Bombyx mori: one gene and its partner. The protein of the gene in region 1 binds, or shares a complex with, the protein of each later gene. Links are inferred from orthologs where the notes say so. Each region holds a gene or a part of one and is shown on either strand. Other genes may lie near its edges. The genes, in order: mediator of RNA polymerase II transcription subunit 24 and mediator of RNA polymerase II transcription subunit 20.

Evidence for each region.
Region 2: mediator of RNA polymerase II transcription subunit 24 (region 1) and mediator of RNA polymerase II transcription subunit 20 share a complex: the UniProt entries of both Drosophila melanogaster proteins name them as parts of the mediator complex. The link is inferred for Bombyx mori from reciprocal best matches to the Drosophila melanogaster genes MED24 and MED20.

The regions. Positions count from the first base shown.
Region 1 is NC_085113.1:5,800,102-5,807,049, forward strand, and holds mediator of RNA polymerase II transcription subunit 24, read right to left. Parts: upstream 4,756-6,948; 5' UTR 4,030-4,755; coding exon 1,102-4,029; 3' UTR 667-1,101; downstream 1-666. UniProt on the Drosophila melanogaster protein: Component of the Mediator complex, a coactivator involved in the regulated transcription of nearly all RNA polymerase II-dependent genes.
Region 2 is NC_085134.1:1,810,613-1,817,539, forward strand, and holds the start of mediator of RNA polymerase II transcription subunit 20, read right to left. Parts: upstream 4,829-6,927; 5' UTR 4,793-4,828; coding exon 4,659-4,792; intron 2,062-4,658; exon of another isoform or gene 1,925-2,061; coding exon of another isoform or gene 1,911-1,924; intron 1,522-1,910; coding exon 1,379-1,521; intron 590-1,378; coding exon 330-589; intron 1-329. UniProt on the Drosophila melanogaster protein: Component of the Mediator complex, a coactivator involved in the regulated transcription of nearly all RNA polymerase II-dependent genes.

The DNA of each region.
Region 1 (6,948 bases):
TCTTTTAGGTCTCTTAAAAACATATTCATTCTCAGTATCTACGGATTCATCTTTCCCAGTGTCTACTAGATATTCCGGTGCCTTAGTAAGAAGATCGAAGAGAGAAATCGACATAATTATTTCAGTGCGCCACGTAGGGCATCGGTGACCTACATGGCAGTCAAAGGGTTAACCATGAGTTCGTTCACCATCTAAAAAAATCGTATCTGCGGTAGATGACCAGCCTTGTTGTTTTAATACGAATCATAATATCTTACGTATAATTTTCAAATTCAGATTAAAATCGCACTACCTTGCACAATAATATGGCTCCTACAATATAACTGTACAAGTTGCTACTTATTTTGTATTTACTTGCATATTTTTAGTAGGTATTTATTTGTATTTAATCGTATGTAAGTCTATCTTATATTGTATTTATTTTTCACATGTGTATATAAGTAATGTAAGTTTATTATAATATAGCACCGTCCAGTTCGCTTATTCCTCTCCCTGCAAGGTTGCCTGGAAGAGATCGCTTTCAGCGATAAGGCCGCCAATTTATGTCACCAACTATTATTTGTTTTATTTGCTCACTCTGTACATATTATGTTAAATAAAGTGTTCTTATTATTATTATTACGTAATTTACGCAATTCATGGGTTGACAATATAATAGCTTGTTCGTTATGATCAGATACTCTTTATTCCGAAACTATTGGGAATCTTATTTCTTCGTCGTATCGATTATTCTAATAGAAGAGCATTTACAATTTTCGGCTTGATATATATACTCTTTGCAGTATACAGTGTACATTAAAAAAGCTGAATACACAACTTATCAGTGCCTAGTATAACTTAAAACGCATCCTACATTATATTAAAATGTTATTAAATATTATTTAATAAATTATTTGGAAAAACGATAGAAGTAGGATAATACGGGTGGAAGAACTATTTATTATGAGTGTTCCCATAATAAAACTGTAAAAATTGATACTGACTATATTTAAAACTAAAATAAAAGATTTTTTTTTAATAAATCAAAATAATTAATGTATTTCATTATATATATCTTAAAATAAATTATCTTATTAATTTATTACTATGATTTTTTATTTATTATTCTGGCCTTAACCTCATATTTCGTAAAAGGCATAGATCTCTCGCGGTGTCTTTTCTTCCGTAAGCAGTATTCAAATTATATAAGCGTAAAATCAGACCAATGTTAAAATTGTCAGGTAGAGCTTTAATTAAAGTTGGTACGAGTTCACTAGGCATTTTCTGTAATACTAACTGGGCCCTATCTTGGCCACATTGAACCACATAAATCAAGAACTGAAGTATAAAATGTGTTTGGGGTGTGATATTTCCGTCCTTGCCAGCTAGTTGTGAAAAGGACGCATACAGCGTTTCTAAAGCTGACAACAATGGTTCTTTTAATGATATTTCATATCCTTGTCCCTTACAATAATAAACACCACTTCCATCGGATGTATTGTCGTTGAGTTTCCGCATTTTACTAGACGACATCGCATCCAAATCCTCAACTTCGTCATGACGACGCTTCCTCGAAAAATGCGACTTTTTAGTGTTGCTGTAATCTAAGGCAGCATATATGCAATACACTGCTAGCTTGGCTAATACAGAAGACTGGGGTTCAACTAGCTCTTCAGACAACTTAGAATTATACAGGTATTGTGGTAGAACATGTAATAAAAGTGCTCCTGTGCACTTTTCTATGTCCAAATGGAACATCGCCAACACAATATCAACAGATCTATCGAGATCTACTTGGTACCGAAATTTTAATGTCTCTTTCACTAAGTTCGTCACAAACCATATTGGGCCAGTTGTGTTCAAAAGATTCTCAACGAGATGGGTAGCATCAATATGAAGGTATCCTCTAGACTTTATATTTTCCCAAATGCTTTGTAGTTGCTCTAATATTGGCTTGCGAGAGGTGATACTGTATGGCAACTGCTGCTCTTTTGATTTTGGCATTGAGGTAGGATGAATTTTAAACAGTAATTTTCTTATTATCTGACACATCAAAATTGCTCTTTCTTGAAAATTGTCTATTTGAGTTAATTCTAATTCAGTAGGTGATGTTAAAAATTGCTGAACCATATTCATGGGTTTTATTGATGCATCTTGATGGACAACATTGATGTATGAACAAAGCCATACTGATGCACACACTGCCAAGGAAGCCATTTTTTGTCTTATAGAATCCAACATTCTTTTAACATCTGTTGCCGAAAGTAGACCTTGTTCCCAAGCAAAAAGAACCTCTTTGACTGCACCAGTGATATTCATACAAAGATCATGAGGTTTGACATTAGTATTTTTGAAATCAAAGTCAGGAGCACTCAAATGGTGAATGATAACATCAACAACATGATCACATTTCTGAAGTATCTGATCTGAAGATTTATAATTTCCTTTATGTACCATACAATCCCTTACCCATTTCTCAAAAAATGAATCACCATTTTCTTCTAGAACAACATCAGCTCCATAATCTTGGACTATCCAACATAAAAGCAAAAATGAAATGTCAAATATATATACTTTTGATTGTGGTGCACCTTTTTCACTTGCAGCAAACAATGCAAATTCATTAAACTTAATGAGTCTTGACACAAACATTTTTAGTTTTCCTTCCACAGTTGCAACGGCCAGGATGGTATCCAATGTAGTTCGACCAACTATTTGGCATAGCATGATATAGAGCGACTCTTGAGTTTTGTGAAATTCACCACTCAATGCTTTTAAAATCTCTGCCAATGTAGGTTCAACACGAGTTATAAATAATGGGACTGAGCCTTGTAATCCTATTGGCTCAAATTTTTGTAAAGGATGATCAATAGTCTCACGTTTTTGTTTAAAATATGTCAAAGTATTATCTGACAGAACATTAAGTTTAACTAATGGCTCTATAAGTGAAATAACACTATTACAAGAATTCTTCGTATCAACAATATCCAGGAGTGGAGCTGATTGTAATAACATTTCAAAAGCTTCCACAACCTCAGTAGAATATTCACTTTCCTTATTTGTTGTCCCACACATATTATGGAGGTGATTTATCACTTGTGGAACTTTTAGAAAAGTGAATGCAGCCCACAATGATTGCTTCGATGCATCATTACTAGAATCATTTAGTGAAATGAAACAAGCTCTAATAAGTTCACAGTAGAGACGTGACAATGAATAGCCTTTTATTTTCTGAACCATTAGTAGTTGGCTGGAGATCTGTTGCATGCCTGCACTAGGGTTTGAGAACACATTTATAGCTATTAAAGCCTGCAGACAATAGGTTACAGCTTCTGGTTTATTGTTTAAGGGTGCTATTTTATCCAATTCCATATTGCAGATTTTGTGTAAAGTGACATGTATGGTCATCGGAGGTTTGAATTGAGTGTTCATCATCATAAATGCTGTTATCTCTTGACATTTCTTTGTCACTTCGTTATACTCATCAGGATCATTCTGCTTGGCCAAATAGAACATTGCAATCAGAAAATCTGTATTAACAATAGAGTTCAGTAAAACTGATGATTTCTCCAATAATTCCTGACTTTGAACAGAACTTGAAGCTGGATACTTGGTTAATGAATAGTGAAATACTTGTAAAAGCCACAATATTATAGATGATACAGCATAAGCTAAAACTTCTTCTTCTAACTTGCCTCTGCATGTAATACTCTCCAAAAAGGTTTCAAGGAACTCCAACAAGCTTATTATACAATGAGGTTTGTGAAAAGCATCAAATTTTGCGATTCGTTGTAACACAGCCGCGAAAGAGACCAAATGACACGCAAGTGAATGTTTCAAATACGATATCACTAACTGATTGGCCCCACAGCCTACCATGGCTTGTTGAAGAATACAATCAGCCAGATTATATAGGTCACCACTGACGCCCCTCGGCAGTATAGTTTTGATGTTGATGCCCCATTGAATATCAGTCCATCGTTCTTTCCAAGCTTTTAAAATTAAAGCTTTTAGTGAACTAGTTTTACTCGTTATTTTGGAAGCATCCATTTTTATTGTATTTTATTAGAGCACAATAATGTTTCTTTCTTACATTTCACACATTTTTGACGTGATATTAGTCGTTTAAACAACACTTTACTACTAGTCTTTGAGGTTACAAATTACATTTTCTTGTTCACTGTTGAATATTGAAATTAATTCGTTATATTTGTGTGGCATATTAAGTTTATCACATTTTTAAAGATATTTTATTTATAGCGAGCATTTGAGAATAAACATTACTTTATATGATCAAACTTGAATAATAATAGCCCAATCACAAAATAGACATTTTTTTTTTTTTTTTTTTTTTTTTTTTTTTTTTTTCTTTTTTAGCTTGCACTGTTTGTGCATTTAGCCACATACAAGGGTAAAGGTAGGGAAACAGGAGAAAAAGGAAAAAACGGATAATTAAAAAGAATGGATCAGGTAGGTATTTATATACATAATTACAATTTGATATTATGTTTCAGGATAAAATTTGAAATACATAAATAAATATCATAGTTCATAGTACACAGCAAAGTATTAATAGAAGTCGGGAGTGGAATACCAAGGGATGTTAATAAATCAATAAATGAGGAACAGTCATTTAAGGAGCACGCGAAAAAAATATGATTTAAATTGCCAACATCAGCGCCGCAATCACACATATTGTTATTGACTATACCCAATCTAGTCAAATGAGATGGAGTGCAAGCATGACCCAGTCTCATCCGGATTATGATAGTAGTCGTGATCTTATTAAATCTAAAATTGTAAAACCAAGGCTTGGTAGGAATGACAGATTGTATTTGGGCATAATTCTTTCCTTTATATTGACTAGAAATAGCCCATGTTTGTCCCCAAGATTCGCGCAGGTCTGAATTCGGAAGACACAAAAGATCATTTATGAAGATTTTGTATGGATAAATATCTCCACAATCCACAGCATCATTGGCAAGTTTATCAGCAAATTCATTGCCAGAAATACCCACGTGACTAGGAATCCAGGCAAAAATTACATCGAAACCTTTTAAATTACATTCCCACAGTAATTTTCTACAATCTACAATAACAGGGTAATTGGCGCAAGATTTGAAAGGAAATTTCTGAAGTGCCTGAAGCGCACTTTTGGAATCAGAAAAAATAACAGATTTATGTAATTTCATCAAATTAACATATTCTATAGCTTTAAATAATCCGTAGCATTCCCCAGTAAAAACAGAGCTTTCTGGTGGAAGTTTAATTTTTTGGACAATTTTTGATTGTTGATGATAAACTCCAACACCAACGAGACCAGAGGAAGAATTTTTAGATGCATCGCTATAAATGTAATGTCGATCTGACCACTCTCTATCTAAGATGATATTAAAATCGATATTGGCAGAAAAAATAGATCGAGATATATCTAAGGTAAAATGAATTTTAGGAACAAGAGTTAATGCTTCATATTCAGCAGAAAAAATAGAGAGACGATGAGACATGTGAGTGGGGGCAAGCAAAGAGGAAAATTTACGAAAACTCACGACTAAACAAGGTAGAGACTTGTGCCTCCAGTAGGGGGAAGATGAAACTAAATGTGATAAAGTAGATAATTTGGTATGAAGGGGATGCTTGGTAAATTGTAGAGCACGGAACAGAAACTTGTCACAAAGATATTGACGACGGAGTCGCAGAGGAGGGTCAACACACTCAACTTGTAAAGCATTGATAGGACTAGATTTCATTGCACCGGTTATTAAACGGAGAGCTTTTGATTGTATGCCATCAAGCTTATTTAGTCCGACTGCATTACATGGTTCAAGAAAGTAAGTACCATAATCTAAAATACTTCGTATGAGAGCGTTGTATAGGAGCTTTAGATTATATGGATGTCCACCCCACCAGACTCCAGTTAAACATCTCATAATATTCAAAACTCGTTCGCATCTAGCTATAACGTAATAACAATGTGATAAACCTGATAATTTGGCGTCTAGAATAACTCCTAAAAATTTTATTTCATTTTCAGATGGAATAAGTTCATTATCAAAATATACGGAAACAGGAGGAGGAAGCCGCATTCTAGAAAATAACACAATGCAACTTTTTGAAACAGAAAGATTAAGAGCGTTGGAGACAAGCCAAAATTTAAGTTTGGACAGTGCTCGACTTAAAAAGTCACTTAATTCTAAAACAGATCGCCCTGAAACGTATAAAACTAGATCATCTGCATATTGTAATATAGACACGTTATTAGAATCACCATTAGGTATTTGAATTGCTTTATCTAGGTCATGTGTGTAAATGTTATACAAAGTAGGGCTAATAACACATCCCTGGGGTAAGCCCTTCCATAAAGTTCTAGATTTATGGTTTGAATCGCCCGTATCCATAGTTATTACTCTACCAGACAAGTAATTAATAATAAAATTAGTAATCAAAAAGGGAACATTGAGCTTAAGGAGTTTTAGCTTTAATATGTGAAGATCGACGTTATCGTAAGCAGCATGTATATCTAAAAATGCTGCAAGTGTTGATTCATTATTACTAAAGGATAATCTAATATCAGTTGTAAATATTCCAAGACTATCCATAGTGCTCCGACCTTTCCTAAAGCCGTATTGGTTCGGAGCAAGAATATCATTAGATTCAAGAAACCATTCTAACCGATTTTTTATTAGATGTTCTGTTAATTTTGCGAGAACAGATGCGAGGGCTATTGGTCTATACGAGTTCGCATCAGAAGGAGGCTTATTCGGTTTTAAAATAGAGATTACTTCTTGTAATTTCCACGAAGTGGGGATATTGCCAGAAATCATAATGGAATTTATCAAACTTAAAAAGTAAAGAAGGCTAGAATCACTTAAGTGAGAGAAAAACGAATAGGGTATACCATCAGTGCCAGGGGCAGAATCTTTAACGTATGCTAAAACTCCTTTCAGCTCTGAAAGGCTAAAAGGAGAA
Region 2 (6,927 bases), on another chromosome or scaffold:
ACCAAGGTGTTCCACTTTAAATAATAGGTAACAGTTATCTAATATAATTGGCACTTCAACCTCATGTATTAAGGTAGCCAATGTCAAGTATGATATAATTTTCATGGTCCCTAATATTCACTACGCAAATTTTGAAAACTTTGACAACAACAGCAATCTATAAAAAACAAAGATTTTTTTAACATAATATTACGGAAGTATTCTTTTTAGGAACGTATTTCTCCATCTATCTTTATGTACTATTATAGATATAGTGACGGACGTTCTGGATGCCTCCAAGTGTTCACATATATTAACATAGCTATTCACTAATTATTCAATTCACTCACCTCAATCAAAATCCCTTTAAAATTCTGATTCATAGTAACTGATCCGAGCTTCACACAGAAATCTCCGAGCTCAAACCTAGGTCCTTTGCTCTCGATTTTGGTTTGTTTCTTAGAAGTATAATGCTGAGACAACTTCATCATTAACAAGTCAAATAGTCCGTCAGCTATGACGTGAATATTTTTCGTGCCACTTTCAAGGATTGAGAAGACAGACGCAGGCTGCTCAGAGTTGTGTAATATATGTACTGTTTTTGTTGTACCTGGAATATTTGAGTTACGTTTTTGCTGTCAGAAATTTTAAAAGCAGCATTAGACAAAACTTTAGGTAAGTGTGTTTCGTATTGTTAATTTCCACAAGCGTATGCAAGTAATGGTAACCGTTAAGTGGTCTGGCTGAATTTGATGAAAAGATAATAAATATTGGTATCAGCATCTCATCAACTTTTCAATTCAACTATCAAGTACACGATTAGCTTTGGTTTTTATAAATTCCTTGCATTTTATTTTTTATTGCTTAGATGGGAGCTCTCATCCCACCTGATGTTAAGTGGATGGATGGTGGTTACTGGAGCTCATAGATATCTACAACATAAATGCCCCACCCACCTTGAGATATAAGTTCTAAGGTCTCAGTATAGTTACAACGGCTGCCCCACCCTTTAAACCAAAAAGCATTACTGCTTCACAGCAGAAATAGGTGTGATGGTGGTAACCGTGAGGACTCACAAGACGTCCTACCGCCAGCAATTACACAAATTATAACTTTGCGGGTTCGATTTTTATTACACGATGTTATTCCTTCACTGTGGAAGTCAATCGTGAATATTTGTTAAGTACGTATTTCATTCGAAAATTGGTACCCACCTTCGGGCCACATAGGCCACGAGGACTTTAAGTACAATAAACTAGCTGACACCTTTGTAATGTCTGAAATATTTTCAAATATGTCATATCCATGTATTGGCGATGGGCTGTGTGATTTCTCTATAAATCGCTAAGTGGAATGTGTCTTTCTTTTTACTTTTAGCTTGGATTCAGTAAACACGTACCCATGAGTGGATGTGATAAATAACTCTCGCAATCAACCAGGAACTGTCCTTGTTGTGTCGCCCCTAATGCTAAGATACGCTTTGTAAGTAACTCCACTACATATGTTCCGGTCTTGTTCTCTGGCACTGGATATTGCTGTAAGCTGTCAAGTTAATAATTGAAACAGTTTATTAAATATAATCCACTCTTCACGATTTTTTTATGGTAGATTTTGTAGTTGTATCAAAAACATAATAAATAGATTTGTTTCGTTATTATTTTTAATGATACTCTTCCTTCAGTCTGGCCAAACTGTGTCAAAAATAAGCTACACTAACATGTATTTTTATTCGGGGATAGTTTTCATACACCGGATAAGGTTAAAGAAGAATTTGAGATAACGTATGAAGTCAAGAAGTTTACTTTCTACCTTTACATAGAGTTATTACTTTTATTAGTATTAGTATTATACATCGCGGTATATTTTTATGAATGTAATTATAGGAATACCACACAATAATAACGTTCTATTTATTAAATTTGCACACTTACACTGTTACCCCCATTATAGATTGTTTGTATACAAAGCACAGATTATTAAATTATTTTAGTCGCTATGGCAGTGGGCAGGCAGAGGGCTTGCAATTTAATATTAGTAATAGACAGGGGTGCCTATCTGAGATCGATTAATCGAATCTGAATCGATTCACTGCATCGATATTTGACCCTTGAATATCGATGTTGATTTTTTCGGTTTTGGTAAAAACCAGTAATTTATTTACAATTAGCCTGTTATCAAGCAATAAATAGAATAAATACTTCAATTTTAGATAGTAAATCACAAGAACAACTTCCACAAAATAATAGTGAAGAAGTCGACGGAATCGAACTGATACGGAAGAAGTAATTTGGGATTTTCATAAATTGCTGATGAAAAAGCAACTTTTTACATTTATTGCACTGAGAAATGAAGGCTTAGACGAAGAAATTGAACACTATTTATTTGCAGGCAGTTGTGTACCTGAAGTATGACCACATACTTCACTGGCAAGAAAAGAAGAAAAAAAACCATCTAACACTACGTCCACTCAATAGCCATGTTTTTCTTTTATGAATGAGGGATCACTGGTGGGCCAGAGGCCTTTCCAGTTTCACCAGGACATGTGGGCGAGCAAAGGCTCATCCAGGAGAAGTGGGATGTGCTAACAGAGCCATGATGTATATGAGTATTGAGGCATCATCTTTACCTTGTGAGAGCGCTTCAATTGCCTGCAATAACGCAAGTGATGAGCGGAACCGCTTGGATCCCAATACACTTGACAGACTGTTTTTAAGAAGTTCGGATACTAGACGGTGGGAAAATCTACATTATCTATTAGAAATTATACCTAACTAGCGACCCGCCCTCGCTTCGCTTCGGAAACATTAAAACACACATGAAACCAAAAAAATAAAATAAAAAAAATTAAAAAAAATTAGCCTATGTTCATCAGGGACAATGTCGGCTTCTAATGGAAAAAGAATTTTTCAAATTGGTCCAGTAGTTTCGGAGTCTATTCGAAACAAACAAACAAACAAATCTTTCCTCTTTATAATATTAGTACCTAATGGGACAAGATTAAAGGCAATGATAACAGACAACACCATAGTTTTTGGATGAGATGAAATAAAAGAATCTCTAGTTAAAATAGTTAGAATTTGGTGAGAATTCAAAGATAATTTTAAAAGAACCCGAGAAACTACTAACAGTATCGACTGAGTCCTTATCTTACATGTTGAGATATAGCACTAGCTGCGTGTCGCCGCACTAGTAATGTTGACTCGCTACCATGGATACATTCTCTACTTAATAAGATTGTGTCGTGTGAATAAAATATAACTGATGATAATAAAAAGAGTCTGCTTATTCTTTCATATAAAATCTTAACATGGTAGCAGACCGCGTGTGCAGTAAGTAAATAAAAATATATTGGGTTGCGATCCACTAGAAATAATATCGGCGAAAATTATAAAAAAGAAAGATGACAACTGCGAGGTCTCTTCTGCCGATTTTGACTGAAAATTCAAATTTTAGTCATTGGAAATTTAGATTGAAATTACTGCTGGAAGAAAAGTAATTAAGCAATGTATTCTTAAAAGAGAAACCGACGGATCAGGATGACTCACGAGCAAAATCAATTTTGGTACAATGTCTGAGCGACAAATATATTTACATCGTAAAAAATGCGAATACGACAAAAGAAATGCTAACGTCATTGGAGGCCATATTTGAACGAAAAACAGTCTGTAATAAATTTTATTTAAAACGGAAACTCATAACAATGTGCTATGATGATGAAAGCAACTTACAGCAATTTTTCCTAAAATTTGAAGGAATTCTTAGCGAATTAGCGGCAATCAACGTAAGCGTCGAAGTAGAAGACCAAATTTGCTATCTGCTGTCTTCTTTACCAAAGATATACGATCAATTAATTACATCAATTGAGACTATGGGTTCCGAGAAACAACTGAACATAGAATTTGTTAAAGCAAGACTACTCGATATGGAGACAAAGTTAAAAATGGACAGAAATAGTGAAGGTTATGAGAATAATGCCTTCATCACGTGCCACTCCTGCGGAAAACGTGGACACAAATCATTCGAATGCCGATCAGGACGAGGACAAGCGCCGAGTAGAGGACAGTCATTGACACGAGGACGGAGCTATCCAAGATCGTGTGGACGCTCATTTAGAGGAAATTCAAGTTCACGACATACAACGTATCAACATGCTTCAGCAGCAGGCACAGAAAATAAAGAAATAGGTTTCATTGCTAGCGATATTATTGCTAATGTGGGTGAATGTGGTAACATAGAACTAATTATAGACTCAGGATGTACGGAGCATTTAATAAATGAAAAATATGAAAATTATATGACGGATATTACGTATTTAGATAAACATGTCAAAATATTCGTAGCTAACGGCCAATGTATTACAACTAGTAAAAGAGGTAAACTTAAAGTAAAATATCAAAATACTACGATTAATATTGATGCTCTAATTGTGAAAGATGTTTCATACAATTTATTATCAGTAAAAAAGATTGTCGAGGCAGGTTTTAACATAAACTTTAATAAATACAATGTTAAAATATTTAATAAAAAGACATTTTTACGCGGCATCGTGCAAGGAAAGTTGTATAAGCTACAAGCCGAATTATGTAAGTCCGAAGTCTGTAATATTACTGATGCGACAGATCTATGGCACAAACGTTTAGGTCACTTAAATAGGAAAAGCCTTAATATACTAAACTTACCTGTATCTAATAGAATTTGCAGTCCTTGTATGGAGGGCAAAGCCACCCGAAGCCCGTTCACGCCTATCCCAAAGCCTAGAACAAAAATGACAGCCGAGATGCTTCACACAGACATAGCAGGACCGATCAGACATCAAGGACCTAATGGTGAAAAATATTTTATGAAAATTATTGACGATTTCTCTCATTTTTGCGTAGTGTATCCCCTGAAGAGCAAATCTGAAGCAACAGAACGACTGATGAACTATGTATTAAGAATTGAAAACGAAACGGGGAATAAAGTTAAAAGAATTAGATGCGATAATGGTGGAGAGTACACTGCTAACAGTTTGAAACTTTTTTGCATAAATAGAGGTATTAGTTTAGAATACACATTACCGTACACGCCACAACTTAATGGCATATCAGAACGAATGAACCGCACATTATGCGACAAAACGAGGACTCTATTAGCGGAAACCAATTTGCCAAAACATCTGTGGTGCGAAGCAATACAATGTGCAGTTTACCAATTAAACAGATCGCCATCATGGGCCATAAGCTTCAAGACACCCAGCGGAATATTTTTTGGTAAAAACGACATATCGAGATTGAGAGTATTTGGTTCCAAAGCTTGGGCTACTATAGTACCCAAACCGGACAAGTTTGCCAAGAGAGCAAAAGAAACAAGAATGGTAGGTTATGGAACTGTTGGTTACAGATTATGGGATCCAGAAGAAGATAAAATAGTTATTTCCAGAGATGTAAGATTTGATGAAAGCGACATTAAATTCAAAAACAAAGAAGAAGTGAAACAAGTTAGATATATTCAAGACAAAGAAGAAGAAATCAATAAAGAAAAGCAAGATATTGTAGAACAGGAAGATGAATTTAAAGATGCAGAAATGAACACTGATCAAATTGAAGAAGCAATAATCAGACCCAAAAGAACGATAAATCCTCCTGCTTATCTTAAAGATTACGAGACGAATATAGAAAACATAAATGAAACTAATATTGTTATATGTCTGAGTGCAAATGCACCAGAAACTTTCGAAGAAGCTATAAAAGAACCAGAATGGAAAAACGCAATCAATAAAGAACTAGATGCACTCCAAAGACTAGAAACGTGGGAAGAACAAGAAATAACCGATGGAAGAAAGCTCATTGATACAAAATGGATATTTAAACTAAAAGAAGATGGAACAAAAAAGGCAAGACTGGTAGCTAGAGGCTTCCAACAAAAGAAAAAAGATATTTTTGACAGCGTTTATGCACCCGTTGCTAGACATTCTACCATAAGAATGATCTTATCAAAAGCTGTACAAGATGATTTAAAGATTATTCAACTAGACATTCCCACTGCATTCCTAAATGGAAAATTGAAGTCTGATGTATTTATCAAAATACCCCAAGGATTAGAAATAAAAAATAATAATACAGCATTAAAACTAAAGAGAGCATTATATGGATTGATTGAATCACCAAAATGTTGGAATGAAACACTTGACGAATTTGCGAAAGCTAACGGATTCCAAAGATCAGAATATGATTACTGTTTGTATTACAAAGAAGATTGCTGGATGCTGATTTACGTGGACGATACCTAATCATTGGAAACGGGGAAGATATTATTAAAGCACTTAAGGAGGAGTTTAACGCAAAATATATGGGTGAAATGAAGAACTTTCTCGGAATGGAAGTTAAAAGAAATAAAGATACATTAGAACTGAAACAAACTAAAATGATTGAAAAGATATTGACTAAATTCAAAATGGATGTATGTAACGGAATTAAAACTCCCATGGAAAGAAATTACAATATAGAAATAAAGGACAATACAGAAGTTTTGGACGTACCATATCGAGAATTAATAGGAAGTTTAATTTATCTTACTGTAACAACAAGACCGGATTTAACATTTGCAGTGTCATATCTGAGCAGATTTTTAGATAAACCGAACGAAGAATTATGGAAAGCTGGAAAAAGAGTAGTACGTTATTTGAAAGAAACAATAGAAAAAGGATTATTATTTAAAAAGACAAATGACAATAATGTATACGGATTTTCTGATGCCGATTGGGTTGGAGATAGAAGCGACAGAAAAAGTGTTAGCGGTGGTATTATCCTACAAGGGCAAAACCCCATTGCTTGGTTTTCAAAGAAGCAACAATGCGTAACTTTATCGTCTGCCGAAAGCGAGTATGTAGCCGCCGCATCATTAGCACAGGAAATTGTTAATTTAAAAGGCATATGTAAGCACCTAGGTTGTGGCCGTGCTATTTGTTGA